Saccharomyces cerevisiae S288C: one gene and its partners. The gene in region 2 interacts genetically with the main gene of each other region. Each region holds a gene or a part of one and is shown on either strand. Other genes may lie near its edges. The genes, in order: ACE2, TAO3, ARG4 and CRM1.

The links.
Region 1: of TAO3 (region 2) and ACE2, changing one enhances a phenotype caused by changing the other (phenotypic enhancement), as found in Saccharomyces cerevisiae (one study listed by BioGRID).
Region 3: of TAO3 (region 2) and ARG4, changing one suppresses a phenotype caused by changing the other (phenotypic suppression), as found in Saccharomyces cerevisiae (one study listed by BioGRID).
Region 4: of TAO3 (region 2) and CRM1, changing one enhances a phenotype caused by changing the other (phenotypic enhancement), as found in Saccharomyces cerevisiae (one study listed by BioGRID).

What each region holds. Positions count from the first base shown.
Region 1 is NC_001144.5:400,937-408,655, reverse strand, and holds ACE2 (DNA-binding transcription factor ACE2), read left to right. Parts: upstream 1-1,833; coding exon 1,834-4,146; downstream 4,147-7,719. Other genes in the region: bifunctional choline kinase/ethanolamine kinase CKI1, read right to left, coding at 1-211; USB1 (phosphoric diester hydrolase), read left to right, coding at 501-1,373; low-affinity Zn(2+) transporter ZRT2, read left to right, coding at 4,594-5,862; snoRNA-binding rRNA-processing protein DIP2, read right to left, coding at 6,168-7,719. UniProt on the Saccharomyces cerevisiae protein: Plays a role in regulating basal-level expression of CUP1. Activates EGT2 transcription in the absence of SWI5.
Region 2 is NC_001141.2:106,247-116,833, forward strand, and holds the start of TAO3 (Tao3p), read right to left. Parts: upstream 6,992-10,587; coding exon 1-6,991. Other genes in the region: MET18 (Met18p), read left to right, coding at 7,560-10,587. UniProt on the Saccharomyces cerevisiae protein: Seems to play a role in cell morphogenesis.
Region 3 is NC_001140.6:136,438-142,935, forward strand, and holds ARG4 (argininosuccinate lyase ARG4), read right to left. Parts: upstream 4,966-6,498; coding exon 3,574-4,965; downstream 1-3,573. Other genes in the region: MIP6 (Mip6p), read left to right, coding at 1-96; YSC84 (Ysc84p), read right to left, coding at 444-1,803, 1,972-2,018; YSC83 (Ysc83p), read left to right, coding at 2,257-3,414; asparagine--tRNA ligase DED81, read right to left, coding at 5,457-6,498.
Region 4 is NC_001139.9:928,699-937,477, reverse strand, and holds CRM1 (exportin CRM1), read right to left. Parts: upstream 4,938-8,779; coding exon 1,683-4,937; downstream 1-1,682. Other genes in the region: TOS2 (Tos2p), read left to right, coding at 1-354; mitochondrial 54S ribosomal protein uL3m MRPL9, read left to right, coding at 595-1,404; calcium channel protein CCH1, read right to left, coding at 6,663-8,779. UniProt on the Saccharomyces cerevisiae protein: Receptor for the leucine-rich nuclear export signal (NES).

The DNA of each region.
Region 1 (7,719 bases), on a different chromosome or scaffold from region 2:
GTTGCACACCCGCTACTCCCTCATTGACAGCTCTCAAATCGTCATCGTCAGTAATATTAGACACATCAGACTCGATACTGATGGTTCTAATCAGTCTTTGCGAGGAACGTTGGCGTGTTAACGAATGTCTTCTTTGAGAACTCGATCTGGACCTTGCTTGGTAACCGACCGAGTAACTTCTTACACTCCCTGGACGTGATTCTTGTACCATCTTTTGCTCTAATTTTACGTGCGTATCTATGTGTGTGTATTCTATAAGAGTACAAAAAAAAACTGTATATTGTTGTCCTAATTCTATAACTTTTCCATTTGGCTTATCCTTACTTACAGCCACAGAGCTTCTATTCTGTCTCTTCGAGATTTAACCGGCTGGGCCGACAAGAAAAACGGTAGAGCACCATGTGAATATTATACCATAAAGAACAAAGAACAAGAGAACGATCTGTTGGTGGTGTTCTAAAGTGAAGGAGGTTACCAATCGCTTAGAAGAAGACTGGCCTATGGAATTCATATCTGCAGACTATTCTAGCAGTGACGGTAGTGATACCGAGAGCGAAAGTAGTAACAAAAGTGAGGTCCAAATCGAATACACGGAGAAAACTTGCATACAGAAAGCCGATTCCACTGATTTACCTGCAATACCGGATTCAATTATATTGAAGTACCACATCCCTCCGAATTTACAAAAGTACGAGCACCAGGATATGAATATGAGTCGATTTTGGCGTTCGTTCACATATTTTGAGTGGCGTCCGACTCCAGCGATTCACCGACAACTTCAGAAAATCATATGTAAATATAAAGAAACATTTATGAAACAGGAATACACTAATCCGTATCAACTGGTGGATTTTGACCCGTTGTTCATCTCACACTTGGGAGCCCCCAAACCTTTACACGTTTCCTTAACTCGATCGTTGTTGTTTGAAACTGAAGAACAAAGACATGTTTTCATTCAAGAAATGCGTAATGGTTTACGAAATAATGAAATAACCCCTTTTAAACTTCAAATCTGCTCATATCCGAAGTTATATATATCAGAACGAGCCAACACCTTGTACCTCGGTCTCCCTGTCTCAGAATGTCCCAATAAGGCACAAATTTCTCCTTTCAAAACGATAATAGCTGAGGCACTTCAGAAATCAGGCATTTCAAACTATCAGGATTTAATTGTAAGTAGGCAAAATTTACATGTTTCAATTGCCATCGCTAGCAACCCTTCAAAAGCCACATTAAAACGTTATCAACAATTAAACGAGACGATGGGGGCGCTTTTACTACTCAATAATGACTTTGCATACAAACTAGAGTTCTTAGTTAACTCTATCTATTGTGATGAAAACCGTCACTCCATTAGAATCCCTTTTAACTAATAGTGTTATAGGAATAGCCGCCCAAAAATACCGGGGCACTGAGAGCGGCTCGTCAGATAGGTGAAGGTTGTCATAATATACGATATATATCTCAAAACGGCAAAATGTAAACATTGGCACTTTGGGAAAATTTCAGGACACTTTTGGTTTACAGGTAAAGGATAAGGATGCTTGTAGCTAGTAAATCAACTCCAGAAAGCATTTAGCCATTAACGGGCAAATATTAAGGAGGGAGTACTGTTTGTTTACTCGCAATATTTCTGTCCCTTTTCTTTCATTAAGGGTTTTATAGTACACATAAACTTATAACAACCTCTCTCGGCATTGTACCTAGCAAACAAAAGCTACGTTGCAGGGAGACTCAAGCAACAGTTAAAGTGCTAGAAGAAAAAAATACAAGGCATAAATTCAAGAAATAACTAAAGAAATCTATAGGACCAAAAACGGTGTTAATACAATCATGGATAACGTTGTAGATCCGTGGTATATAAATCCCTCAGGCTTCGCGAAAGACACTCAAGATGAGGAGTATGTTCAACATCATGATAATGTCAATCCTACCATACCCCCACCCGACAATTATATTTTGAATAATGAAAACGATGATGGCCTCGATAACTTGTTAGGTATGGACTACTATAACATCGATGACCTGTTGACTCAAGAGTTAAGAGATCTGGATATTCCTTTAGTGCCTTCTCCTAAGACGGGCGATGGTTCTTCTGATAAAAAGAATATTGATAGAACTTGGAACCTTGGTGATGAAAACAACAAAGTCTCCCACTATAGCAAAAAATCAATGTCCTCACACAAGAGAGGTCTAAGTGGCACAGCGATATTTGGATTTCTCGGCCATAATAAGACATTGAGTATTTCCAGTTTACAGCAATCCATTCTAAATATGTCTAAAGATCCGCAACCCATGGAACTCATAAATGAATTGGGTAATCATAATACGGTAAAAAATAACAATGATGACTTTGACCATATAAGGGAAAATGATGGTGAAAATAGCTATTTGAGCCAAGTTTTGTTGAAACAGCAGGAGGAGTTAAGAATTGCTCTTGAAAAACAAAAGGAAGTGAACGAAAAATTGGAGAAGCAGTTGAGAGACAATCAAATACAGCAAGAAAAGTTGCGTAAAGTATTAGAAGAGCAAGAAGAGGTGGCGCAGAAGTTGGTTTCTGGGGCTACAAATTCTAATTCCAAACCTGGATCTCCAGTAATACTAAAGACACCTGCCATGCAAAACGGTAGAATGAAAGATAATGCTATAATCGTCACAACGAACTCTGCAAATGGCGGATATCAATTTCCTCCTCCGACGTTAATATCGCCTCGGATGTCAAATACTTCAATAAATGGTTCACCATCCAGGAAATACCATAGGCAACGATATCCAAATAAAAGCCCAGAAAGTAATGGATTGAACCTTTTTTCCTCTAACAGTGGTTATTTGAGAGATTCTGAACTGCTTTCATTTTCTCCACAAAATTATAATTTAAACTTGGACGGCTTGACTTATAATGACCATAATAACACCAGTGATAAAAACAATAATGATAAAAAAAATAGTACTGGTGATAACATATTCCGTCTGTTCGAAAAGACTTCCCCGGGTGGGCTAAGTATCTCTCCAAGGATAAATGGAAATAGTTTGAGATCGCCCTTCCTCGTCGGCACAGATAAAAGCAGGGATGATCGATATGCTGCTGGCACGTTCACGCCTAGAACACAGTTGTCACCTATCCACAAGAAAAGGGAATCCGTAGTTTCCACGGTCTCGACAATATCACAACTGCAGGATGACACTGAACCCATCCACATGCGAAATACCCAGAACCCAACATTAAGAAATGCAAACGCTTTAGCGTCATCAAGTGTACTACCTCCTATTCCTGGTTCCAGCAATAACACTCCAATTAAGAATTCTTTGCCACAAAAACATGTATTTCAACATACTCCCGTCAAAGCTCCACCAAAGAACGGAAGTAACCTAGCTCCGCTTCTAAATGCACCGGATTTAACAGATCATCAGTTAGAAATTAAGACACCCATACGAAATAACAGTCACTGTGAAGTGGAAAGCTATCCGCAAGTACCACCTGTCACACATGATATTCACAAAAGCCCCACTTTGCATAGTACGTCTCCTTTACCAGATGAAATAATACCTAGGACTACGCCAATGAAAATAACCAAGAAACCAACTACTCTGCCTCCGGGTACCATTGACCAGTACGTCAAGGAACTACCCGACAAACTATTCGAGTGCTTATACCCTAACTGTAACAAAGTATTCAAGCGTAGATACAACATAAGGTCGCATATTCAGACACATTTGCAAGATAGACCGTATTCATGCGACTTTCCCGGTTGCACCAAGGCGTTTGTTCGCAATCATGATTTAATAAGACACAAAATCTCCCATAATGCCAAGAAATACATCTGCCCATGCGGAAAGAGATTTAATAGGGAGGATGCTCTAATGGTGCATAGAAGTCGGATGATTTGCACCGGCGGTAAGAAATTAGAACATTCGATCAACAAGAAACTTACATCTCCCAAAAAAAGCCTGCTTGACAGCCCGCATGACACAAGTCCCGTAAAAGAAACTATCGCCCGGGATAAAGATGGGAGCGTCCTAATGAAAATGGAGGAACAGCTGCGAGATGATATGCGCAAACATGGATTACTGGATCCACCCCCATCCACAGCAGCGCACGAGCAAAACTCGAACCGCACCCTTTCAAACGAAACTGATGCTCTCTGACGAACATTTATCTATGCATGATATTAACATAATAAATAATAGTAACAATAATATAATACATTTATTTCTTTACGATTTACGTACACTGTAGTCTTAAGGGCCAAAAAAGGCAATAGTCATCGTTTATAGGGACATAACCCTAAAGGTTATATGCGACTCCTTCTCGAAAATGAAAATTTTTCACAACCTTTAGGGTACATTGCCCTTTAACTACTACAAACCAGCTTCACACATCCTTTGGTAAAACACAGTGTGACGATTTTAAATGACGCAACCTTTTGGGAGACACGATCTAAAACCCACTATATATGATGATACTGTTTATTGAATCATACACCCTGTTGGTTAGACCGGAAGAAAGCTAAAGTTGATCTCCGAAAATACAACGGTGCATCAACCAAAGAAAACATTGCAGGCGTTTCCAAGTGACACTGCATATTCGAAAGTATGGTTGATCTTATAGCGAGGGATGACTCCGTAGATACTTGCCAAGCTTCTAACGGCTACAATGGGCACGCAGGTCTTAGAATTCTGGCAGTATTCATTATACTGATATCGTCAGGATTGGGAGTTTATTTCCCAATTTTGTCATCACGGTATTCGTTTATAAGGCTACCAAATTGGTGCTTTTTCATAGCGAAGTTCTTCGGTTCTGGTGTCATTGTTGCCACAGCGTTCGTTCATCTTCTACAGCCCGCAGCCGAAGCTCTGGGAGATGAATGTCTTGGTGGCACATTTGCCGAATATCCATGGGCTTTTGGGATCTGTTTAATGTCGCTTTTCTTACTTTTCTTCACTGAAATCATCACGCATTATTTTGTAGCGAAAACGCTGGGACACGATCATGGGGACCATGGGGAAGTTACCAGTATTGATGTTGATGCTCCCAGTTCGGGATTTGTCATCAGAAATATGGACTCGGATCCTGTATCTTTCAATAACGAAGCTGCCTACTCCATCCATAATGACAAAACTCCGTACACTACTAGAAATGAAGAGATTGTCGCTACTCCTATAAAGGAAAAAGAACCCGGCTCAAATGTTACTAATTATGATCTGGAACCGGGAAAAACAGAGTCACTAGCTAATGAACTAGTTCCAACCAGTTCCCATGCGACAAATCTCGCTTCTGTACCTGGAAAAGATCATTATTCTCACGAAAATGACCATCAAGATGTCTCCCAGTTGGCCACACGTATCGAGGAGGAAGATAAAGAGCAGTATCTCAATCAGATACTAGCTGTTTTTATTCTAGAATTTGGCATCATCTTTCACTCTGTATTTGTGGGTCTTTCGCTATCTGTCGCGGGTGAAGAATTCGAAACCTTATTTATCGTTTTAACTTTCCACCAAATGTTCGAAGGTTTGGGTCTAGGCACAAGAGTTGCCGAAACGAATTGGCCAGAAAGTAAGAAGTACATGCCTTGGTTAATGGGATTAGCCTTCACTTTAACGTCACCCATAGCAGTCGCGGTAGGTATTGGTGTCAGACACTCTTGGATACCTGGCTCTAGAAGAGCATTAATTGCTAATGGTGTTTTTGACTCGATATCATCAGGAATTCTTATTTATACTGGACTAGTCGAATTAATGGCTCATGAATTCTTATACTCTAATCAATTCAAAGGACCTGATGGCCTCAAAAAAATGCTTAGTGCATATCTCATCATGTGTTGTGGAGCTGCTTTAATGGCTCTTCTAGGGAAATGGGCATAGTATCTCACGTATATTTTGTTAGATTAGATAGTTATTCATTATCAAAAAAAAAAAAATGCATGACCTATAATTTTACAACTGCTCTGCAGAGACGAGAGACATCTCGCAAAAAACAGCATATGTCAGCGACCAATAAGTATAAAAAACACATATTCCGTTATTTGGATATGCCCATTATTACCGAAGGGCAATCGGAATGACAATTTTTATGATTGGAATTGTATAATATACAGATAATTTAATCTATCCTTTTGAAGTGTGAAAAGGGCAGAGTAATGCCGGTATTATGTAGGATAATAGTTTTATTATATAACGGTCCCGAAAACTCTCTTCCTTGCACTATTACTCTCTTTCTCCTGTTGGTCATATTCGTCAACGAATTCGTAGTTATGCCTTAGATTCCATTGTTGCTTGACGAATTTCAACCCTTGAACATTAAAGCCTAGATCATCCTCGGTAGATTTTAATGCACTTCTTAATTCAGTCTTTACTCTATTTATTTGCAATTTCAATTCTTCATTTTTCTGAGAAACCAATTCTTTATGATTAAATTTGATAATGAAAAATAAATTCTTGCAAATTAATGGTAAGTGAGAGTGCAGCAAAGTTTTGTTTTGCATAACGGTATCAATAAATTTTAAAAATTTGAGGACATATGAGAATGGCATAACCATCAGTGCATCTTCTAACTGAGACATTCTTATTCTTAACAGGGTATCCATAATATATTGCTCAGGAGTTTTATTCACAGCAATTAGAACAGCGTTACCCTGTGGTTTTATTGGCGCTTCACCCAACTTCTTTCTTTGCCATAGCTTCATATCTCTGTTATATGCCTCTAAACCTTCAATCTCAGCAATTCCTAAATCTAGCGCCTCCATAAGTCTTTCACCAGCCTTTAACGATTCTAAAGTCTGTTTATGAACACCGGATGCTTCATCTTCAACGCCTTCACCCGATGCATCAGCTTTAAATGCATCATCACCGTTTCCTTCTTCCAAAGAAGTTAGCAATGTATCCTCGTACTGTTCTTCAAGTTCTTTCTCCTTTTCCTCTTCTAAAAATACCTGGTCCTCGGTTTCTTCCCAGATTCTTATACTGTGATCATGGGATGAAGAAACAACAAAGCCGCCATCAGTAGCAACCGCCAAAGCCCAAACTTCGCTCTGATGAGCGTATAGTTTTTGAATGCATTCAAATTTCTCGCCATCCCAATATTTCACCACTGCGTCTTTAGAACAACTAAAGAAGTTGTGAGACTGTGGTAAGAATTTAACGTTCATAATCGAATCCTGATGGGCAAATAAAGACTTGTGACAGTCACCAAAATCTAAACCCCAAATCTTGATATTTTTGTCTGCGGAAGACGTAATAATCATCTTAGAATCAAATGAAATATCGATAGATAGTACAGGTAATTTGTGCCCATATAAACTTAGGTAAAACTTCATTGAGTCCAAAAAGAATACCTTAACAGTATTATCCAGCAACGAGATGGCTAGATATCTATCGTCAGGAGAAACCCGTACACATAAAATGTCGTCAGTTAATTCCAAAGTTGTATCATGGTGCAGTTTTAAAACAGGCAGGAATTTGTTCTTGGTACCTGGCACTAGGCTATTTTCAACTTTGAAATCCCAAAACTTGACAGTTTTATCGGCAGATCCGGTCACTAATCGTTTACCATCTGAGGTCAGATCTAGCGACCAAATTGCCGCATCATGTGCATCTTCAATGGTATCCAAAAGACTTGATGATGCTAGATCAAAGAGCTGTAACTCCCCGTTTCTTGTACCCAGTATGACTAGTAGCCCACCTGGCAAAAACTTACAAGTTAATGCATACCCACATTCGAAA
Region 2 (10,587 bases):
CAGACTCAAAGGAAAAAGTTTGATCTGTGCGAGTGGTTTCAATCGAATCAGAACGTCCATGTGGAATTCCCATCCCCATTTTAGAGGAGATATTTGGCACATTTGTGTCCTTTGTGAAAAAACTATCAAGATTATCTAGCTCTGCCCACATGTGACTTAACGAAGCATCCTTTTCTTCCGCAACAGAAATGGAATCGTTTGTGTCCATTCTACCAAGGTCATAATCACCGTCCGCATGAAACTCGACAATTGTATCCATTCTGCCGAGTTCATAGTCACCATCCGCATGAAATTCGATAACTGCATCCATATCATCCGATCCGTGAGCAGATACTTCATCTGATTTGCCTGTACCACATGTCATAAAAACTGCGTGAACGTTGTGCCTTGTCGTAGCCGCCGTCATTGTTGGCATAGGAACAGACCAACCGCTATCTTCAGGCAAACCAAACAAGGTAGTGGTAGCATTATCGCCGTCTTTCACATCCTTATTTCCCATGGTTATCCTTAAAACATCCTTATCCATTTTACTTCCAGAAACATTTGGTACGCAATCTAAAACTTCCAAGGCCTTTGCTTCGTATTCAGTAAATAGTAACCTGAGTAACGGAGAAATCAAATCAGCACCGACACCAATAAATTCTGGCCTTCTTAAGTCAATTAAAGGAAAAACATATTTTAAAATTTCCAGAGTTTGAACTCTGATCCATCCTATTTTATTGAACAGAAGACCCAGAAGGAACACTAACGTTTGAGCGGAGTACGAGGGGAAGTAGTTTCTAGATATGAAACTCACTACTTGGCTCATGAAATCTTTCTTTGATCTAAACTTGTTCTTTGCTAGAGAATCTATCAAACGGGAAAGAGAAGGTTGTTTGTACGCATTTGCAAGTTCAATTAACGAATCTGCAGCAACCTGAATGCCCGTAAAATCTTTGCGATCCATTGCATTCAAAAATCTCGGAAGGTTTGCTATTAATGCGAAAAGCAGCCTAGACTCTGTATTTGCTATAATTCGGCTATCTTTCAACAAATTTAACTTATCCAAAAATTTCCACGTAATCTCTAAGGAATTCGCTGATCGCAATCCAGTCATAACTATTTGTTGCAAGCCATCAAAGCGACCTTCCCAATTGGAAGGAAAGATCGCAACCAAACACTGTACGGTATCAGGAGAATCCAAATCGATCTTGGAAATGAATTTACTTAAACATGACAGCACTTCAATGAATTCTTGTTCGTGAATGCTGCTCAAACATGCTGTAATGGACCAAAATAACTGCGGGAAACTGATCAAATTCGTCGGATCAAGTTCGGCCATGATTGCATTCAAAGTCATCAAGATCTGCATGGCAAATCCTTGTATATCGACATTTCCATCCGATATAGTGTTCGAAAGTCTATGAAGCATATCACGCAACATTTCCTGATCTAAAAATGTCAATAATGATCTAAATATTTGAAATGACCTGCACGCTATGTGCCTAACTGAGCAAGTGGTAGCCCACTTCAAGGCAATTCTTTGCCAAGTTACTTGAAATTCATCTAAGTCCGAGAATATAGAGATTATGTTCCTAATTAATAGGTCCATAGTTTTTGGTGATCTTGCACCTTTTTTCATCAAGTTATCATATGACCATAAGGCATGCTTATTTCTTAGTAGTTTCACGGTTTCCTCAGACTTTTCGTGACTTGGTGCCAATCCAAATATTAATGTAGATGCAATTTTACACGCGCTTTCGTGAATAAGCGGCACATAATGGTCAAGCAAGCAAATGGACATATGTAGTAGAAGAGGAATTTTCGCCTTTACAGATTCACTCAAGTTCGTTAACAAATTGACTAAAAAGATAATCGAAAGCTGCGCCTTCGAAAAAATGATTCTTTTCCCATTGTAATTTAGTCGTTCCCAGATATTCCCTAAAAAGGAATACTTATTATTATTCATTGGCTCATTAAACGTATGTTTCGCTAAAGGAACCATGTATTTCGGTTCTAAATTATTCAATAGAGTGTCAAGTAGTCCAATGCCACCAGGAATATTTGCCAAATACAATACAATATCTCTAGCATACTGAACAAACAATGGATTGCAGTGATTCATTGAAGAATTTATGATGTACTCCAGCGATACGTGTATATTTTGGAAAGAATTACCCTTGCCAAGAGAAATCCATAGCTGCTCTACTTCGTTCGGTAAAGAGTCGTTAAGATCAATAGTGATGTAAAATAGGTTATTCAATACCATAAACGTGTCCAACTCTTCTAAAGATTTCAATGTAAATTTGTTTACCCAAGGTACCATAAGCACCAACAAATCTCTTTTTATTTCGAAAGGAAACAAATCAAGTATTCTAACCAAACTGGAAAATATTCTCAAACACAAATCCTGAGAGAGCAGTTCGGCAAATATGCTAGAAATTTCTTTTGCAGTTGATTTGTAAACCGTCTTTGAAGAATTTGCAAGTCTCTCCTTAAATACCTTGGTATAAGAAGAATTATGTAATTTCGTTTCAACAGCTGAAAGTAGATCAACAGCAAATGTCCTTGTATCTTCCTTATCTGCCACTAAACCATACAAACCCAAGGAGACTAATTCATCTTCATCTAAAACCAAATTATCCAATTTCAAAACGGATTTACAAAGTGTAGTGTAATATAAAACAGCTACCGAAGGATGTGAGTGGTGTGAAACACATTGGAAAGCAACATCTCTAAATAGTTTAAAATTTTCCCTATTTTTGTCCAGGAGATTCTCCAAAGCACGCACACCAAGATTTTTTACAGTAGTATTGTCCGAGTCAAATAGTGCTTCAATCCAAGCAAGTAAATCTTCAGTATCGAATGAAATCACAATAGGCAACTCTAAATCATCGTCCAATGTTTGGGTTATTGGATCTGAACATAAAACAACCATAGTCTCTAGCACGATCATCTGCAATCTGTTTTTTTGGAATTCTATTCCAGTTGTAATAGCGGTTCTATCTCTGCCACTCTCTGTATTTTTTATCATTATGGCATATCTTTCTTCAGATATTGGCTCGTACTCACCATAACCACACCATTCCTTCAAGAAATTGAAACATGATGCGCGTGCTTGGAAGGGAAATAATTCATCTATTAGCGGATGCTCTCTTACTGCCATATAGTAGCTCAATATAAGACCTGCAAAGTAGCTTCGCAGCGATTGATATTCGTAGGAGATTTGCACAGAATCCTTCTCGAGGAACTGTTTTGTCTTCTGCAAAAACTCTGATAATTTCCGAAGTATCCATTCGTCATTAAATATCATATCCGATTTTAAGTACGGCGATAAAATCGTCAAAATATGAAACATCTCCACTCTGATTTGGTTGTTGGAGCTCCCTTCTTTCCATGCCACTAAAAATACATCAATTGCCTCCACATATGCTTTAAAAATGTTGATATTCATTGAGCTTAGCCCCGTTATTATAGCATCCCTAATCATAATATACTTTGCATTTAATAAGGGAAGAACCATCTTGAAGATTGATTTCGCAGATTTGATTTTTTGGTGCTGAACAGTAAAGATTTGTTGACTTTTTTTCCTGCCATGCTGAGGAATATTGGACGGAATATGCAGTTTTTGGTCAAACGTGGAAGTTAATGAAGTACATGCGGCAATCAAATATAGCTTCCATTGGTTTACTATTGTTTCCGGTAAAACATTTTTGAGTTTGAAATCAACATCATTTGCTACCCGCAGAATTATTTCGTGTACTTGCACAAGTCTTATACAAACGATAGATCGACACAATGCCATCGCCATAGGACAAGTTTTGAAAACCAACGCCAGTAATTTAGGAAAAGCCCTTTGCCATAGTGCAGCATCTACTCCGTACTCTGATTCGGCCAGTTTGATAAGTAGACCTCTTTTATATTTAGAATTCAGTCGACTGAATCTCGTTTTTTCAACCGCACTTAATGTTGCTTTATGTGGATTAATTAAGGTAGTGGTATTACACTCATTTAATAAATCAATAAGTCTTGTTCCGCGATCAGCTGCAAAATGGGATGATGATCTAGAATGCCCGTTTGACAATTTCTCTGTTTTCTCCATCATCGCTTCGTCAAACTTGAAAATAATTCTCAATATCTGGATGCCCAATCTACGAATTTTTGCATCGTGTGAACAAAGAAAAAATAAGCCATTCCCTTCTACTTCTTCAATAACTGTAACTGTATTTTTCCACTCCAGTTTTTCGGTTTCGTTACTCTCCTCTTGTTCTGCATCGATCGGCAACAAGCGAATTCCATCCAAACCAGTTTCTTTTTTATTTTCCTCTTTATTGGACGATTGGAATTCTTCTAACCAGCATTCCAAAAGCTCAACATAAAGTATCAATAATCTGTTGTACTCCTTTGATGACAAGTACGACATGTTATAACTTGATTGTGTCTTTTCATCGAAATCAAATGAATATTTAGCAAACCATGTGATTAGGGTGTATGGATTCTTCTTAGATGCTAATGCTCTTAGTGCATTTTGACTGCTAGAAGAAATAATTACCTCCGAATGAACAGCGTTCCTTGATAAAATCTCAATTGTAGATTTATATGGGATAGTGCGTGAAATAGAAAGGCAACATGGTATAGCTTCAATGATGGTGCCGAACAATATAACATAAAGCGACTTATTTTTACTTGAGTCATTGTCATTAGAAAAGCTAAAGCCAAATGGGCTGAATGCGTTTGATGATTGCTTTTGGTGCTGATTTTCAGGAGACCAAACTTCAGAACCGATGCTAGAATCCAATAAAAGGAATAATTTATAAAAGTAATCTGATATTTCTGTATGGTTTATGGAAGAGGCTTCTTGAACCTGATTCACTGTAATATTGTTTAAATTTAGTTCATAAAGCCTGTTATCATCCTCAGGAAACCTTGGCCTCTCTTTTGTAACCAGCAATCCTTTGTATGTATTTATAGTCAAAATCAGTTTTTCGTAATTGATATTTTCCAGGTTAGAGCCATTGAAAGATTGCCGTATCAATGGAATTAAAGCTTGTTCCATTAAAAAATTCGGATGTAAAAATCCAATTGATATTAACGCGTCTGTCAATGGGTTCAAGAGACCAAAATCGCCGGTTATCCAATTCTCTTTTTTCCTTGTGTTTAGATATAGTTGTAAAAGCTTGGTAAGCGTCCTTGTAGTATTATTTAAAGTTTCTGGGCATCTATATAAATAGACCCAAACTAATCTGGATAAACCAACTGCAAAGATAATCCTTTCATTCAGACTTTTGGACTTAACTTTTGAGGCATTTGCCTCCAACAACGATAGCCATTGTTTAGAAAATAGGTCTGGTGGTGATGCACACAAAATAGAAACTGTTAATTTGAAACCACTTACCCAATACTTACTATCAGCTTGTAGCCTCTTGGCAGTGTTCAGTAAAGTAGACATTGCCTCTACCCACGTTGGATGATTAACTTCTGCCGTCAACGAGCCAGCCAAAGGCAACAATAGCTGGTTAGTGACTTCAGCATACGCCAAACAAACCGGAAAATTTTCAGTCTTTGCGAAGAACTTTGATAAACTTTTCATGAAATCTGCACTTTCTTCAAATTTCTCCAACGGATAATTTCTTAACTTCAAATATCTCATACCAAGAATCAACAAATGAGTACTTGGCTCTAACTCGGGAGGTATATACGCCGGGATTTTTTCTAGATCAGCTATAAATCGATCACTAACTGACAAAAATTTCTTTTCAGACATAGAGCCCAGTAGTTCGGCAAAAGAATTCCAATTCGAAGACTTAATTAAACTAGTTGATATAGAAAGTGGATCAGTAGTTTTTAACTGAGTAAAAACAATCTCTTCTAGCTTATCAGATAAATCTTCTTCTTCATTGCTGGAAGCCTGCTTAACAATTTCATTTAGCACCCTGCATAGGATGTATATACTAATCAGAGATTTCCTATCTGCAAGGAATGCTTCTTCTTTTGCTACTTCAATTGTGTTCTCTAAACTTTTCAATTGTGAGTTCGCTATGGATGGACTTGAAGTAGCGCTATTGTTACTGCTACTAGCTTTGATTAACGGAACTTTGTTGTTGAAAGATGAGGAAACGTGCCTTTTCATGCCAGGAAGATTATTGGTATTGTTATTATGTTTGTACTTTGAGGTTGTATTACTGGAAGATCTTGATAGCCGCCTATTCATTAAAAAATGAGCCTGCGAGGGATGTGCCTTTTCAAACTCATACTCTTTTAATAGTTTTTCCATTTCTTCTGAAGCAGAGTTGGCCGCTTCAGATTTAGTCTTCCTCCAAAACATCATTGCATCAATCACAGGTTTCGGTTTTTTCTTTGCAATGTGACCTAGAGATTTAATAATTTCATCAAAGCTGGGATCAACGCCTTCACCAAGAATTTCTACAATTGGGGGTTCCGCCATGTCCAACTGCTGTAGACACATATTTAGTTTGTTCTCCGCGTAACGAATAAACTTTGTAAAAAGTATATGAAGAGCATATTCAGAGGGACTTTTCCAATCTGTAGCCATTTGCTGTCTCAAAGTAGTCACGTAGTCCTCTGCTACTGATTTTGCTGTAATGTCCGGCGGTGCTGATTCTTGCATTCTTTGCTGCTTTTGTTCAGGTAGTAGCATTGAAATCTTGTTTTGATCACTTTGCTCCTCAACAAAGGTAGGCGGAAGAGCTTGACCTTCCCCCGTTCCTTGTTGCTGTTGTTGCCGTAAAAGTAATTGATTATTTAGAGAGGTGCCTTCAGACATATCAGTAGGAGATGGAATATCAATAATAGGTGCATCCGTAACGGATTGGTGAAGAGGAAATGTGTTAAGTGGCGCTTCGTTTATTTCCTCCAAGACATCCTGGCCTGAAGGATCAATATCTATTGATATCTGGTTATTGTTGCTAGAACCTTCTGCTTTATTTGTCGGTGGGAAGGTGAAACCAATGCCTTGATCCCTCTGGGGCGGGAAAGTAAATCTCGAGGCCATTTTGATGTATAACAAAACTAAAAAGGGTTATTAAAATGGGAACACAACAAACAACCAGAATTTTCACACTTTAACCAGTCACGTCCTATTATGAAGACCTAAATCCACATTTGCTTTCTCTCTTCATTTGCCTAATCCTTTATCCCAATTTCTACAGTTCTATATGTATTTTCCTGTGTGGCTGTCGTTTCGTGGTTAGTGATACAACCATAACGATTCAACCAACTCCCAATGTATGTGATGTTGATACCGCTAATTTGGAAGGGATGGTATACTCTAGGTGACCTCAATGAGTCAAAGAGAGCTAGGACATACTTCGAGATAGGTAATACCACTTTGCAGCTTCTTTTTAGGCCTTCATGAGTGAGTAGCCAAGAAAAAGTTAAAAGCGGGTAATAGGTATGAATTTTTCAAATACTGAAATTTGGTTTAGTTATTTAAGTGAATTGTAGATTATGTACATTTTACGTGCAATGAAGGAGTCACCTCTATGATCATCTAGTTATTAGCTGTTAGTTTTCATTGAACTTGTTTTAACTGGGAAAAAGCGGAACAATTGGGCCTTACAATGACACCAGACGAACTAAATTCAGCAGTCGTCACCTTTATGGCCAATCTGAATATTGATGATTCGAAGGCCAACGAAACCGCTTCCACAGTAACGGATTCTATTGTACACCGATCAATAAAATTGCTGGAAGTTGTCGTTGCGTTGAAAGATTATTTTCTTTCAGAAAATGAGGTAGAAAGGAAGAAAGCGTTGACATGTTTAACCACTATCTTAGCAAAAACTCCCAAGGACCACCTCTCCAAAAACGAATGCTCAGTAATATTTCAGTTTTACCAGTCTAAGCTTGATGATCAAGCGCTTGCAAAAGAAGTCTTGGAGGGCTTCGCCGCATTAGCTCCAATGAAATATGTCTCCATTAACGAGATAGCCCAACTTTTGAGATTATTATTGGACAACTATCAACAAGGCCAGCATTTGGCATCAACTAGACTGTGGCCATTTAAAATTTTGAGAAAAATATTTGATAGATTTTTCGTCAATGGATCCTCGACCGAACAAGTCAAACGAATCAACGATTTGTTTATTGAAACATTTCTTCATGTTGCCAATGGTGAAAAAGACCCTAGAAATTTACTCTTGTCATTTGCACTTAATAAATCTATCACATCGTCCTTGCAAAACGTGGAGAATTTTAAAGAAGACTTATTTGATGTCTTATTTTGCTATTTCCCAATCACTTTCAAGCCACCAAAGCATGATCCTTACAAGATCTCCAACCAAGATTTAAAAACAGCTTTGCGATCAGCAATTACTGCGACGCCATTATTTGCCGAAGATGCTTATAGCAATTTGCTGGACAAACTCACTGCTTCTTCACCGGTAGTGAAAAATGATACACTTCTGACGCTATTAGAATGCGTTAGAAAATTCGGCGGCTCTTCTATATTGGAAAATTGGACGTTACTTTGGAACGCTTTGAAATTTGAAATTATGCAAAACAGCGAAGGAAATGAAAACACTCTACTAAATCCGTACAATAAAGACCAACAGAGTGATGATGTGGGCCAATATACTAACTACGATGCTTGCTTGAAAATTATTAATCTAATGGCATTGCAACTATACAATTTTGACAAAGTATCATTTGAAAAGTTCTTCACTCATGTATTAGATGAGTTGAAACCAAATTTTAAATATGAAAAGGATTTGAAGCAAACCTGCCAGATTTTGTCCGCTATAGGTAGTGGGAATGTCGAGATATTTAACAAGGTCATTTCGTCAACTTTCCCCTTATTTTTGATCAATACATCTGAAGTTGCCAAACTTAAGCTGCTGATTATGAATTTTTCTTTTTTTGTTGACTCGTACATTGATTTGTTTGGAAGAACATCTAAAGAATCGTTGGGAACACCGGTGCCAAATAATAAAATGGCTGAATACAAAGACGAGATCATAATGATTTTGAGCATGGCCTTGACAAGAAGCTCCAAGGCAGAGGTTACCATAAGGACTCTATCTGTGATTCAATTCACAAAAATGATTAAAATGAAGGGCTTTTTAACCCCAGAGGAAGTTTCACTAATTATTCAATACTTCACGGAAGAAATATTAACGGATAACAACAAAAACATTTACTATGCTTGTTTGGAAGGGTTAAAGACAATCAGTGAGATATATGAGGATTTAGTTTTTGAAATATCATTGAAGAAATTATTGGATTTGTTACCTGATTGCTTCGAGGAAAAAATTCGAGTAAATGATGAGGAAAATATTCACATTGAAACAATTTTGAAGATTATTCTTGATTTCACCACTTCGAGACATATTTTGGTCAAAGAAAGCATTACATTTTTAGCGACAAAATTGAATAGGGTAGCTAAAATTTCGAAATCCAGAGAATATTGCTTTCTACTTATTTCAACCATATATTCTCTTTTTAATAATAATAATCAAAATGAGAACGTGCTAAATGAAGAAGATGCTCTTGCACTCAAGAATGCCATTGAGCCAAAATTATTTGAGATAATTACTCAGGAATCGGCCATTGTAAGTGACAATTACAATTTGACACTTCTATCTAACGTTCTTTTCTTCACCAATTTGAAAATTCCACAGGCTGCACACCAAGAAGAACTAGACAGATATAACGAGCTTTTCATTTCTGAAGGTAAGATAAGAATCTTAGACACACCGAATGTATTGGCTATTTCATATGCTAAAATATTATCCGCACTAAATAAAAACTGCCAATTCCCCCAAAAATTTACAGTGCTTTTCGGAACGGTTCAACTACTCAAAAAACATGCTCCAAGAATGACGGAGACTGAAAAATTAGGATACCTGGAATTGCTGTTGGTCTTATCAAATAAATTCGTCTCTGAAAAAGATGTGATAGGATTATTCGATTGGAAAGACTTATCAGTAATTAATCTTGAAGTGATGGTTTGGTTGACTAAAGGGCTGATAATGCAAAACTCATTAGAGTCATCAGAAATTGCAAAAAAGTTTATTGATTTACTGTCTAATGAAGAGATTGGCTCACTTGTATCGAAGCTATTCGAAGTTTTTGTCATGGATATCAGTTCTTTGAAGAAATTTAAAGGTATCAGTTGGAATAATAACGTTAAAATCTTGTACAAACAAAAATTCTTCGGTGACATTTTTCAAACACTAGTCAGCAACTATAAAAATACCGTGGACATGACCATTAAATGCAATTATTTAACTGCATTATCCTTAGTGTTGAAGCATACTCCAAGCCAATCGGTTGGTCCTTTTATCAACGATTTATTCCCGCTTTTATTGCAGGCTTTGGATATGCCTGATCCTGAAGTAAGGGTATCCGCTTTAGAAACTCTGAAGGACACTACGGATAAACATCACACTTTAATTACTGAACACGTAAGCACAATAGTTCCATTATTACTATCTCTTTCGCTTCCGCACAAATATAATAGTGTCAGTGTCAGGTTAATAGCCTTACAGCTTCTAGAAATGATTACGACTGTAGTACCTCTAAACTATTGTTTGAGCTATCAGGACGATGTTCTAAGCGCTTTAATACCAGTTTTATCTGACAAAAAAA
Region 3 (6,498 bases), on a different chromosome or scaffold from region 2:
CACTTTTTATTAATGACAAATACTTCATTAGAATCACAGAAAATTCTACAAAAACAAGTCACTAGAGCTGCTGAAAGCCTCGGATTTACAGTTTGATTCCTTTTAAAGGAAGAAGGCAGGTTCATCAATATGCAATTTTCGGTACAAAAGTACGTATGTCTATAAAAATAGAGTATTGTTTTCTTTGCTATCTTAATCTACCCAGAATTATTCCAAGGAGTTTCAGCCTCGATTTTTTTTTAGTTTAATGGCGTATAGTCCAGTTTCAAGAAATACTCCACCTACTAAGTGAGTACTTAAGAAGTGGTTCCTCGAAGCTTTCCATTGTGATTATATAACTACAAACATTTCGTAAACATAGCTGAATAAGGAACCCATCCTCAACTTCATAACTCTAAAAAAAAATTCTATATATAGGAACGAGACATATGGAGGACGATAATTTAAGAAACTCTAACGTAGTTTGCAGGGAATATTCCTTCTTTTCCGTTAGTCCTGCCTGTCCACCAATCATTTTGAGAATCTGATTTTTTTAAGATAGTAATAACATCACCTTTTTTGAAAGCCAAGTCGCCTGGTTGTTCTCCAGCAAAATTGTAGAGAGCAACAGCCGTTGGTGTCGCCGAATTTGTAGCAGTGGATTCATTACCTAACCCTGTCTTCGACATTTTATGTGATAAATCATCGACATTGCTCATATTGCTGGGGTGAGTTGGGCCATGACCAAGGCTATAACCCCTTTCTCTACCATAACCACGCCTATTTCCTCGGGTATTATCATAATCCCTACCGGAATGGTTGGGACGGGAGTATTCAGTATCTCTATCATACAAATCATCTTCCCATCGGGTATTCGCACGCGGCTTAGTACCCCTATCTATCTGTGGGCCTCTATTGCGGCTGCTGTTTCTATTTGGAGATCTTCCGTAATCATAATCTTCATCTTCGCTATCAAAATCTCCATACCCGCGACCACGTCCGTAACCATCATCATCATAATCATCATCATAACGACTGCGTGACCCCAGCGACATTCCTCTTCTTCTTGATGATCTTGTGTTTGGACGTGTTGAGGATTCATCAGTAGAATCAAAGGAATCTGGAATATCGTCGTAATAATGGCTTGTGTTGTCGCTGTATTGACCGTCATCATAAAAATCATCACCGCTAGCGTTGTCATCATGGTCGTGGCGTGTAAAGTTGAACGCTCTTGATTCCAAGATACGGAGTAGGGGGTCTGCTGCTGGTGGAACTTTTACTCTACCTGACAAAATCATCTTTGATGTACAGTTATCGCCGTAAAACTTTCGATTAGCTTCCCTTCTCTCCAAGATGGCTGAACCTTCCACAGACACACCGGCAAATAAACCTTTGCTTTTGGAATAGGCAAAAACTGCCGAGACACCACCTGTGGATGCAGAAGCTGCAGCTTCTGCACTTCTTCCAAGAGGACCTGCGGAAACTGACACATTACCACCTAAAGTAATTGTACCAAATTCAGAAAAGGACCTCACTGCCTCTTCCGAATTTAAAATAAAAACAAAATCTGTCAATTCAACGCCGACCATACCACCTGCACCAGCACCTGCCATAGCGATAGCAGAGGGAGCCGACCATGTACCGTCTTTTAACCTGGCCACAATCACCCCAGAACCTGCTCTCCCTGAAAACAAGAAGCCAGCCTTTAAAACCGTGATAATTGCTAGACCTTTAGCTCTTTTTAGCACATATGGTGGAATAACTTGGTCTGCTCCAAATACTTGATTTGGTTTAACAAAACTCCTTAGAACTTTCGCGGCCTTCCTGTAGTTAAAACATTCGAAATAAATCAATCATAAAGTTGTTAGTACATTACTTTTGAAAACTCATGCCCCATAAGCAATGGACACAGACTAGAGAGCTATCTTGAACATTTTAGCTGCATCCATAAGTTTAGAGGAGGGGCAGCAGGAAGCATATATATGAACATACTTGGTCTCGCTTTTCAAGCTTCGAGGAATTGGATTATTGATACCCATTTTTGGATTTTGGATTTGATATTACCACTACTCTTGAAAATTTTACTGTGAAGTGTAAGATAGTTTCATGTTATAGATAATGTTAAGAACAGGGTCTAGTTAGGGGGTAGTCAACTTTAATTCCCTTCAGGTCGTTTTCGGTCAGCGTCGGAACATGTAAAAATGTTGTAGGTGGCATACAAACAGGAAATATAAAACAGACAACAGAAGATATTTGCTCTCAAAAAAACAAATAAAAATGGCTTGGTCTGGTGGTAAGGATATAGTGGATCAGATATTTGATGCTGGGTATTGGCTCGTCTCGAAAAGCGCTGTCTTGAGCGATGAGATCAAGAACCACGTCGAAAAATCAATTGAATCCATATCTGGAAAGATATCCAACAAGGAGACTCCTCGACTACAGGAAAACGACAGTAACAGATCTAAAGTATATAAAACTTTGAGGATCGGGCTCCAGGATCATTGGAAGCTAGGCTTGGGAATTTCTGCCACCTCCCTGTGCTTATACCTTGGGTATAGGACCTTTTTTAAACTGCCACCTAATTTACCTGAAGCAGAATCTCAAGTGGTATTAATACTGGGCGATATGAATGATCCTATCATAAGGAATCAAGTGATGGATTTATATCGCAGACGGTTTACAGTATATATTTGTACTGAAAATGCAGACGTCTATAAGAAGCACGAAGAAGATCAGGATTTCATATATTACATTGATCCCACCTGCGAAAAAGACTTCGAGGGTTTTTTTGTTGATGTACCAAGGCTAGCATCCATATTGTTTATGCCAAGGTTATCATATCATCCATCCGGAGTAATTTCATGTGACTCATTGGAATCTGAAATTCATTCAAGTATATTTGTGTATTATCAAGCATTATTAAGCATTATACCCCATTTGAAGAGAAAAACCCAACTAATTATGTTCAATCCATCTTTGACTGCGGACCTGAACTTAGTCCATCATAGTACAGAAATTATAACGTCTGGAATAATCGACTCACTATTTAAAATTTTCAAGGAATATCAAAGGTTAAATGTTTCCACAATCAAGCTTGGAATCCTGCAGATTGGGTCACAACCATCGAACTATAAATTTTTGAGAATGGCCGGTTCAGACATTCACGAGGCCCTACATTATCCAGTTTACAAAATGATAATGAGTGCGAATGGGTATAAACTAAGACAACTGCTAAGTTGGTTAACGACTTTGGGAGGTTACAATAGTGTGTATTATTGCGGCCGTTTTAGTTATTTAGTCTCATGGCCATTTGCTTCACTTATATTCAACCATCACACACGTCTTTCCCTGAAACGCTTGAGAGGAAGATTAGCCAAGGTATATAGCAGCATTATTTCGTTTTTTTGCCGGTCATCTTCTAAATCATCCAAATAATATCCTTGATTAGATAACAATTGCTTATCTACGTATATATATACATAGCACAATCTCGAAAATATAATACTAATAACAAAATAAGTATTTAAAGAAGGGTTGATGAAGTCCTAGAAGTACCAGACCTGATGAAATTCTTGCGCATAACGTCGCCATCTGCTAATTTAATTGGGATTTCAAATTATCCAATTGCTTCAATACAGCAGATTTAGCGGTTCCACCAGTAGCATCTCGTCTTTCAACGCTTTGTTCAAAGTTAAAAGTTTCAAAAAGATCTTGTCCGAATCTCGAATCGATCTTTTGATACTGCTCCAAGGTTAATTTATCAATACCGCTTAGACCAAGTCTTTCAGCAGTAGCGACACACTCACCAGATATGTGATGAGTCTCTCTGAATGGAACACCCTTTCTGACCAAGTAATCTGCCAAGTCGGTAGCTAGCATATCCATCGTGAGAGCAGCTTCCATCTTTTCCTTATTTACAGTTAAGGTAGAAATAACACCTGTGGCAATCAGCATGGAGTGCTCTACAGTTGTTAAGCAATCGAATAGTGGCTCTTTGTCTTCTTGCATGTCTTTATCATAAGTAGATGGGATACCCTTCAAACTCATCAAGAATCCTGTCAGATCACCAAATACTCTACCGGATTTACCTCTTAACAACTCTAACGAGTCTGCATTCTTCTTCTGAGGCATTAAAGAAGAACCTGTTGAATAGGCGTCGCTCAACTGTATGAAACCAAATTCTGCTGTACAATATATAATCAAATCTTCAGCAAAACGAGAAATATGGTTCATGAACAAAGTTCCCCAAAACATCAACTCCACGATGAAATCTCTATCAGAAACAGCAACCAAGGAGTTACCAATTACACTATTGAAACCCAAACCTTCAGCCAAAAATTCTCTATCAATGCCGTAAGGATGACCAGCAAGAGCGCCTGCACCCAGTGGTGATTGATTCAATCTGTGTAGTATTTGACCCAGTCTCTTGTAATCTTCGGTGAAGTATGTTGCATAAGAGCTCAACCAATGAGACCATCTAATAGGTTGTGCCCTTTGTAAATGTGTGTAGCCTGGCATTAAGACATCTATCTCACCTTCGGCCCTCTTAATTAGAACTTCAACCAAGCCCTTTAAAGCTGGAAAGAGGGTGTCATTGACAATGTCACGACAGTATATTCTCAAATCGGTAACAACTTGATCATTACGGGATCTACCGGTGTGGACTTTACCAGCAATATCGCGGCCAATTAGTTCACCAAGACGTCTTTCATTCGCAGTATGGATATCCTCGTCGTTTGGATGACGGACAAATTTGTCAGCGTCCCATTCTTTTTTGATTTCAGCCAAACCTTCATGGATCTTTGCCAATTCTGTCTCCGTTAGAAGACCCAACTTCTGCAAGCCCGCTGTGTATACTTTAGTTCCTTCTAAATCTGCCTTATACATCTTATAATCATACGGAAGAGACGCATTGTAAAGGTGCATCAAAGGATCGGTTTCACCAGTGAATCTCCCACCCCATAGTTTTTGAGTGCCGTCTGACATGTTTGCCTTAGTCTTGTTATATAGTTACCTGCTTTTGAGCTCTTCAATTGCGAATATTCTCCCCTAGCTAAAGAAAGGTAGTCTTATCTCAGAGTTCTGTGCTTCGCTGACCTTTTATAATCCTTTTTTTTTTTTTTCACATGTTTCAATTTGCGCCAGCTTATCCAAAAAGTGAGTCATTCATCTACTAATCATGATTTTCGGGATTCTGCCAATGAGTAACCACCACAAGAACGAACAAATAATCGAAAAAAAAAAACTGTTCTAGGCCAGATATGATGGAGCCTTGGCAGATCAGGTTATTTGATTGTCGTTAACAGAGGGTTTGGAAGAGTAAAGAAAAATTAATTGCCTGCGCCAACCATTTATTGTTATAACGCTAATTCTTGAATAAATCAATGAATAATTAGAGAGAGGGAGGAACGTAAATATTAATCGGTATAAATATTTGTATATATGTGAGCGCTCACGTACTCTTCAGTAACTAAAGATCATGGCTTACATCTACCGCTGAAACGTGGATACAAGGAACAGTCTCTGACAGTGAATCTGTCACACAACCAGGCTAAAATACGTTCGGTACCGATACCGTAACCACCATGTGGGCAAGTACCGTATTTTCTTTGGTCAATGAACCAGTAGTAGGCGTCGGTATCAATACCCTCACGCTTAAACCCTGCCATTAGTTCGTCCATGTCGTCGATTCTCATAGAACCACCAGTGATTTCACCAACGTTTGGCATCAAAACGTCGACGGATTCAGTGACGCGGGGGTCGTCAGAACAACGCTTCATGTAGAAAGACTTGATTTCTACTGGGAATCTCGTCAAAAAGATTGGGACGCCGATGGTATCGGTCATCTTTCTTTCAGCAGCTTCTGCAATATCGTCACCAAATTTAAAGTCTTCGCCCTCTTCGTTCTTGATGTCGTGTTCGTTCAACCAGGTAATGGCATCCTTGTACTGTAATCTCATGAATGGAGCCTTTGGAGCCTTAAAGTTTGGATTCAATTGTTTTACGAGTGGGCCAGCAATTGGGTCTTCCAAAACGTATTGCACGGATTTGACGATCAAAGTTTCAATATGTTGTAATAGATCGTCGAAAGTCAAGAAGGCCAATTCAGCTTCGATATGGGTATATTCGGACAAATGTCTTCTTGTGTGGGACTTTTCAGCTCTGAAAGATTCTTGGATGGTATAAACATCACCTAGGGAGGCCAAACAGGTTTCTAAATATAATTGGGAACTTTGGGTCAAGTAAGCTTCCTCGCCGTAATAGTTCATCTTGAACAAAGTGGAACCACCTTCGACTTGAGTTTGCACCATACATGGTGGGGTAACTTCTGTCAAATGTTCTTCATCATAAACACGTCTAACGCTTTTCAGTAGAGCAGCACGGACTTTCATGACTGCAGACAAGGCATCTCCTCTCAAGGCCAAATGACGTTGGTCCAACAGTAAAGAAGGGTCTGAGCCCTCTGCGATTTTGTTTGTAAAGGAGTCTTCACCACCGGGGGCCAAACCTACAACTTCG
Region 4 (8,779 bases), on a different chromosome or scaffold from region 2:
TTTTGTACGCCCCTTCCATATCAGCTTAGACAAAGTGTTGTTATGACCAACCCATCAGAACTTTCTATGAAACCTCGCTATAAGCCTGCAGGATCTTTAAGAAATTTAATAAAGGCCCAATATCTCCCTGGTAACTCATCCACTACAACATCATCTTCTTTATCACAACCGCCGTCAACGTTGTCAAATGCAATAAATTTCCGTGTTAGTGGGTTATTGGATGACACTGACATCTTGCAGCCTCCTAGTGTGGGGGAAATCTTACCTTTTAAAGCTTCTACGGAAGACTTAAGGAAGCAACTGGGCACATCCCATAATTACGAAATAACACCGTACGAGAATGTACATGTATAAATAAAATTCAAAATCATGAAATGTTGTAACAGTAAATAAGCACCATAAATTCGTTTCTCGATGATCCTCTTCTTTCCTTAATTGAAATGCTAATGCCATTTCTCCTATTACAGTCGCGAGATATTTGTTTTCGGGTAATCCCTTGTCAAACGAACTTTATTGAAAAATATATGGACGATAAATTGACAACTGGGACGAGAAAGGGCAACTCTTTGAAAGCAAGAGAGAACAAATATAGCCATGTCGAAGTTCCTACAGGGATCAATATTTAGCATATCAAAACTTCATGTTAGATATTCTTCTACTCGGCCTTTTCTAGTGGCTCCTAGTATTGCTAACAGTATAACAACCGAGGCTCCAGCGATTAATCACTCACCTGAACTGGCAAATGCGAGAAAATGGCTACCAAAAAGATGCGGTTTAATTACTCGTAAGAAGGGAATGATGCCTTATTTTGATAAATCTACTGGTGAAAGAAGCGCCGCTACTATATTAGAAGTTAATAATGTTGAAGTAATAATGCATAGAACTTCGGAGGTCAATGGGTACTTCGCGTGTCAAGTAGGGTACGGATCAAGGCATTTGTCTAAAGTTAGCAGACAAATGCTTGGTCATTTCGCTTCTAAAGTTGTTAACCCAAAAGAGCATGTGGCCGAATTCCGAGTTAAAGATGAAAAGGGATTAATACCACCTGGCACATTATTGAAACCCTCTTTTTTCAAAGAAGGCCAATATGTTGACGTCAGATCAGTCAGCAAAGGCAAAGGTTTTACTGGTGTGATGAAAAGGTATGGATTCAAGGGTTTGAGAGCATCTCATGGTACATCTATTATGCATAGACACGGTGGTTCTTATGGTCAAAACCAAGACCCAGGTAGGGTACTGCCAGGAAGAAAGATGCCTGGTCATATGGGAAACGAGCATGTTACTATCCAAAATGTTAAAGTTTTGAAAGTCGACGATGAAAATAATGTTATTTGGGTTAAAGGCTCTGTGGCTGGGCCCAAAAACAGTTTCGTTAAAATTCAAGATGCAATCAAAAAAACTTGAGCATAAGGCGTATAAGTATTTTACTACAATCATGTACATACATCAATAATAACAATAAAATGGGTAATCACTTAAGAATCTTCAAATAATATTCTTTACTTTTCCATGAAGTTGGCTAAATAGTATTTAGTACTATATTAGAGTATTGGAACTTTGAAGAACCAATTTACATACAATATGAAGTGAAAAAGAAATGAAAACCCCGTGGTTATAAATTAGAGACTAGTTAATAAAAGGGAAAAAATATTGGAAATTTAAAGAATGATACGCCACCGCCTCTAATCATCAAGTTCGGAAGGTTTTAATAACCCACCAATCTTGGCAGCTTTTTCCCTCTCTAGTCTATTCTGTTCCATTAATGCATTCTCTTTATCTTCAGCAAACAAATAATCTGTTGGATCACCTCCGACTTCTTTGATTTGCACCAAAAAGTCCCTCAAAGTGCCTTTGAAGACCACTAAGTCTTTGTATTGTTTAGTTAATGCAGAGAGAAAACTTGCGATTTGTTCGGATGTTAAATGGGGGAATGCATTACTTAACATATTAGCCAAATATTGGCTTAAGTAGACTTGATTTGAAGTTCCTTGTGGTACCTCAGCTTCTTGATATAATGGTACCGAAATCTTGTTATCATAAACCAAAGAAATCAACTTCATTAGTAACAAAGCTTGCTTAGAAAAACCGGATTTGTGGTCGGAATCGGTTAAAACAAAAAACGTTTCACTGACAAAAATGAAAAAATAATTCTTGTGGAACTCATTTGCAAATGGGACATTTCCCATTCTTTCAATGTTTTTCACTAGGTCTAATGCAATCTGTAGACCATTAACTTCGACATCTCTATTGTTATGTTTGAACGCCCAACAAATAGCGTCAACAAACAATTTAAAGGCAGCCGGAGGTAGTTCCAAAAATGCAGCAAATGATTTCTCATTGATGACCTTCAATAACTTGTAAAATTCTACACGATGCTCTGGATATTCTGTGAAGTCTTTGTTAATCATGTCCAAAGTGCATTCAAATACACTCTGTAAAATTAAAATAACACCTTGTGGGATCATATGACCAACCTTTTCTACTACTGTTGTCATACAATTTAGCACTTCGGCGTCCCTTGCATCAGGAACGTTGTTCATATAGTCTTCAAGTACAGCGTTCAATAATGGCTCAACTAACACTTTAACGACATCATCCAAATTTCTCGCCTTGGATATATAGGTCTCAACAAGCTTCAGAATCTCTTTTTTGATGGTTCTCAAACCACGAACCTTTGGTGTCTTCGTAGCAATTAGACCTTCTGCGGCAACTTGAGCAGAAATCATCGAAGAAACAGCTCTGTATAGCTGAAGCATATTGTAATAGATGTGACCCAACTGTGGATAGAAATCTGCTCCCATTGAGGTGCAGACAGCTACATTGGTTTTTATAATATTCGCAATAATTTTGACAGTTTCAGAATCTAACAACAATGTTGGGTTAGCAGTGGATTGTTCCACTATAGTGTCCCAAGCCATATTTGGCAGTTGCATCAAATCACTTAATAATCTATTTCTCTCCGCTACGCTTCTTTCTTCAGAAATAATAATACCACAAGCCTTGTAAAATGTATGGACCTGTTGCGGCTGTAGGTCAGCAGTTGTCTTTTGAATATCCCTAATTATTGTTTGGATGAAAGGCTCAGACTCACGGGGTTGTTGAATAACAAAATGATATTTACATTTTTGAACAATCTTAATGAATGTGTCACATGCCATATCCTGAACACCCTCATGAGTTTCATGCATAAATTCAAAAAGTTTCAAAATAACTGTTCTTAGAAAATTCCAGTGAGCCTTCAAAAATCTAGGATATTGGCCCACGACGTACATAATATCCGATGCAACAACAGCTTTATTATCTTTACCCCTTTTCTTGACCGTTAAATCTAGTAAATCTTTAATAACAGTAACTACAAACCTTTTTTCAGTATCTTCGCTCATTGTACCAGATATGGAACCAATAGCCCAAGATAAAGTGTTGATATTATGCCATGACCATTCGGAACCATCGATTTGCCTTGCCAATTTACTGATCATGATTTCTTCTGTATCGATAACATTCAAATGGGTCAAATATACAAGAACCTCTCTTTCTGATTTGTATAATTGGATAGTGTCTGATTCTTTAACGAACTCTCTAACAATTTCTCCTTCATCATTTTCAACCACAAGGACTTCTTCTGGTCTAACCATATTTTCAATAATGACCAATCTCAACTGTGAACAAATTTCTTCGTAAATATGTTTTTTTAATGGAAATCTTTTCATATATTCCGGATTTAGGGCGCCAGATCCAGTTGAGATAGCTTGTGAACCGACTGATAACTGTATCAATGGGCTCATTTCGGTAGCAGGCAAACGCTGAACCTCATAAAACAAATCTGCTACTAAATTATGCCAGTAATCCAATGTCGTCTTAAATAGTTCTCTTTCTTCGATTTTGGATAATTGAATTAAGTATTGGTGCGCATTCAACAACAACTCTCTTAACGATTCATCACTCTCTAGAAGGGCCCTATTACGAGCGAGATATGTAGTTAGAAACATTGCTAAATCTTGTAAGAAAGATTGATCATTACCGTTAGCATTTGCATAAGTGGCTTTCAGATCGGCAGTCACGGGCATCACACTTGTGGCAATTTGTTGTAGAGTATTTTGGAAAAAAAGTACAGTTTGTCTTTTTATCAAATCATTATCTTGTGGAATTTTTAGATTTGAAACCTCAGTCAAACATTTCAATGTGATGGCTCTTGTATCAGGCGATGTCATGAATTTGGTGCTTAATAATTCCAAAATATTGGTTTCATAAATATAACGATAAGGAATCCAATGTAAATATCTCAGTAAAGATTCTAAGGTTGCCACTATTAGAGAGCTTGAAGAACCTTGTTCCAAAACTTGAAAACATAATTTAAAAATCTGTTCAAATTCTTTTGACATGGAATTTTTCAAATGTAAAGCTTTAGCTTGTGTCATTTGTTCCGCAGAGAAATCGAAGACTTCTTCGGATAGCAGTTTCAAAACGATCATGTTATTTTCACAAACATTAACAGAGGAACTTGAACTGCCGATTAGTTCTGGGATAAATTCAGGCCAATTCTGAGGCCATTCCTGCTTTAAAATTTGGACCAAAGTCAAGTCCGACTTATTGATCAGGTTCTTTTGTGTTTTAAATACTTCATCGTCTTGGCACATGGAGATAATCATACCAACAACGAAGTTCCTAATTCCAATTCTATGATCATTCGGCAACAATTTCCATTTTCTAGTAATTAATTTATCAAGGATGGAAAGGGCAATAAATTTTGATTGAGGGTTAGTTGAGAATTGAAGAATTTGGTCAGCTTTTTGCCAAGCGTCTGGATTATCTTGAAATTTAGTCAAAATCTCTTGGGCTTGCTTTTGCTGAACACCTGAACCTTGATAGAATGTAGATACCACCTGATCTAATAGAGCGATATCTAAGTCGTTAGAAAAATCCAAAATTCCTTCCATATTATGTTTTTATCCTATTTTTGAAGTCAGTGAGCGGTTTCAATAATGTAGAGTAAAATGTTAACTTCTTCTTAATTATACTATTAGTTAAGTTTCTTGCCTTTCACAGGTCAACGTCTATTATTGTAGGTGTAAGTAATTGAAAGAGCGAGAATGATAGAAAAGAACAAAAGAAAACTTAACAATGATTGACTTTACTTAAAATAATCAGGCCAGAGAAATGAATAGTGTTGAGGTTCTCAAGATCTATGTCAAAGTTGTGACCGAATATCCTGCAGTTGATAATCTTTTTTGCCTTTGCTATTAGCGATAATTCATAATAATGCTAACGTAGGAAGAATAAGGAAAGCCAGGGAAATCTGCGAAATTCTTTTTTTTTCTTATAAAGAAAGATCATTCCAAATAGTATATATCTCCGGGTAATGATGTAATATTGCCCTTCATAATATATTATTTGTATTGAAACGATATAAGAGGAGAGGATTGACAGTAACTGGGAGGTATATAATGTGTACACAACATGAGAAATGGGTAAATGATGAGATAATTGTTGGGATTCCATTGTTGATAAAGGCTATAATATTAGGTATACAGAATATACTAGAAGTTCTCCTCGAGGATATAGGAATCCTCAAAATGGAATCTATATTTCTACATACTAATATTACGATTATTCCTCATTCCGTTTTATATGTTTCATTATCCTATTATATTATCAATCCTTGCACTTCAGCTTCCTCTAACATCGATGACAGCTTCTCATAACTTATGTCATCATCTTAACACCGTATATGATAATATATTGATAATATAACTATTAGTTGATAGACGATAGTGGATTTTTATTCCAACACAACAATTGAGTACTATCATATTCGTATGTTTCCGTTGTATCGCCATTCTAAATAAATGGAAAAGCTGTTAATATAATTGGCGTTACTTTTCGGATGAGCCGTATCGGCTGTGCATTTAACACCCGTTAAAGCTTCAAATACAAAATTGTTGGAACGAGAGTAATTAATAGTGACATGAGTTGCTATGGTAACAATATAATGCTTACATCGTATATTAATGTACACCTCGTATACGTTTAAGTGTGATTGCACCTATTGCAGAAGGAATGTTAAACGAGAAGCTGAGACAATACTGAAGCTGTGCTTAAAATCTATTAGTTGAACATGATATGGTAGGTACATATATGAGGAATATGAGTCGTCACATCAATGTATAGTAACTACCGGAATCACTATTATATTGGTCATGATTAATATGACCAATCGGCGTGTGTTTTATATACCTCTCTTATTTAGTATAAGAAGATCAATACTTATTTCTTCATTAATACTATTTTTTACCTCTAATTATCAACAAAAATAATATCCGGAATAATCAAAAAAGATTTAGAGTGCATAAATTAATTCCCTTCTAATGGGTACTCTTGCAATGTATAGTATTCTTTGCCCAGAGGAAGATAAAACTTATTCAGATCTCTTCAACCATTAAGATATAATCAGTAAGCGCAAGTGGTTTAGTGGTAAAATCCAACGTTGCCATCGTTGGGCCCCCGGTTCGATTCCGGGCTTGCGCATTTTTTTCTTTTCTTTTTTCCCTGAATAGTAAAGTTTGACATGCTCTAGAAAATCACCTCTCAATAAAACAAATTTAAATTATTCTTATTGTTCATTTTTACATCTATAAAGCCTCTTAAATATGCCCTTATATAATTTATCTATCAATTAGATCATTTGCGCTATCGTCATTATTATCTATTGGTTCTTCCGGGGGCTCCATCGTAGAGTCTTGATTCATTCTCGGAGACCACATAAAATTGTTAACACCGTAGTCCATTCTAGGTGTCGCAATAGGTTCTCTTTCTAAAATTCCTGGAGCAGGTTCCAGATTTACGTTTATATTCGAAATGTGAGACGATACTGTGGGATCTTTAACATCCCATTCGGGTTCAATGGTACGTTTCATCCTGCAATGAAATTTCCATCTTGTTACCACCATCTCCAATACATCGAAGTTTCTTTGATTTTCTAAGTACTTGTCCACTTTACCCAGGATATATAGATGATGGACATATTGATCAATACCTAGACATTCCCTTGCAGAATAAGCTGTATAGAGAGGTATTTGTAATAACAAATCCGAGAATCTGATACATCCATTATAAGCATTCGTATAGTGAATGCTTTGTACAAATCTTCTGTACTGTAACTTCCTCTGTATGATCTTTGCTTTATCAATCGTATTCAGCTCTTTGTTCAGTCCGATCAGGTCTATTTTGACGTCATATGGATCATCTGGGTTAACCTCCATGTAGTTCTCGACTAGACTTTTTATTGTCAATCTACCTTCCCAAATTTTAAATGAAAGAGGACCGTCAAATGAATGCATTATTCTTGGGAGGTAGGACAGCTCAAGCTCGCCAGTTCCATCAGTATCAAATTTGGACCAAGCTTCAATGTATTTTTTTATCTCCGATCTGTTGATGCCAGAGCGAGATCCACCGCTACGGTAAACATAACTGAAATTACCAATAATCAACGAAACAAACATATTCACAAAAATATACATGGAAATAATATTCCACGACATTAATAACAAATAGGCATATGTCTCTGATCCACAGTCCGTATAGGTTGAATTATCATCAGAGGAGCAATAAGGTTCTGACACAGTTAGGTCGGCCATGATATAATTCCAGCCCTCACCAAAACTACATCTAAACAGAACAATCATGGATTTGATTACAGTTCTAAAATTTATGTTATCGGTCGTATTACTCCCTAACCTTGTTAGGCCGAAGATTTGATTCAAAGCAATAGCATATACTAAAAATAAAACCCCCCAAGTGTAGGTCAATGATAGAATAGGCGGTAAGCTTGCCATTGCGGTTTCTAATAGTTCAGTTAGTGTGTCATTTTGAGGAATAATAAACAAAAATATCACTAACAGGAAAAACCCCTTTATATTGTGGAACCAATAGTGAGAGGCTGGAACGTGGAATGCTACAGCGTTCATAATAAAGGCTATAATTATGATACTGAGTCGTATGCTGTTCCATTTTTGCCTAAAATATAATCTTGGTCCTTCACCGCACATGTGAAGTGCCTCTTGAATTAAAAAAACACTAGTGGAAAACATAAAATAAACACCTTGATAACCTATCAAGTTTCCTGGATTGTAGCTTCGACTCAGGAGCATGATTATGTGCAAATAAAGTACTACCTGAAGAAACGATGCGTAGTAGAAATTTTTTTTCTCCACTGCAAGTTGATAGAAAAATTGCCTAACTCTTGATAACTCAATTAAATTTGGGATAGCTTTTGGCTTGGCCTGAGATAAAAGTTTCTGGGATTCCAGCCACGCCTTTTCCTCAATGGTAAAGTAAGCGCTTCCTGTTGTCCTTGCTTGGTTGTTAACAATGAATGAAACAAACAAGTTCAGGATGAAAACCATACTTAAAAAATTAAACAGAACGAGGAATAAAGCATTCCCTGCTGAACCCATTACCGTAGCGGGTGTACCTATTCCTGAACTATTCATCATATTTTCCAACAAATCAACCCATCCTTCCAAAGAAATGATTTGGTATAATGAACTAAAAGCGCTTGCGAAAGAGTCCAAATGAAGATATGGTTGCTGGTAAACCCTTGGAGACATGATATCCCATTGAAAAACGGAATTTGAATATTCATTGTAACAATCTGCACGGCCCAAACTTCCGTCATTGCAAGTACCTAAACGGCCTTTAAAAATGCTTAAGCCCCAAACTGTAAATGGAAATAGCAAACTGAGTGAAATCAACCCAGCTTCAAAAATTTTATTTAAACCAT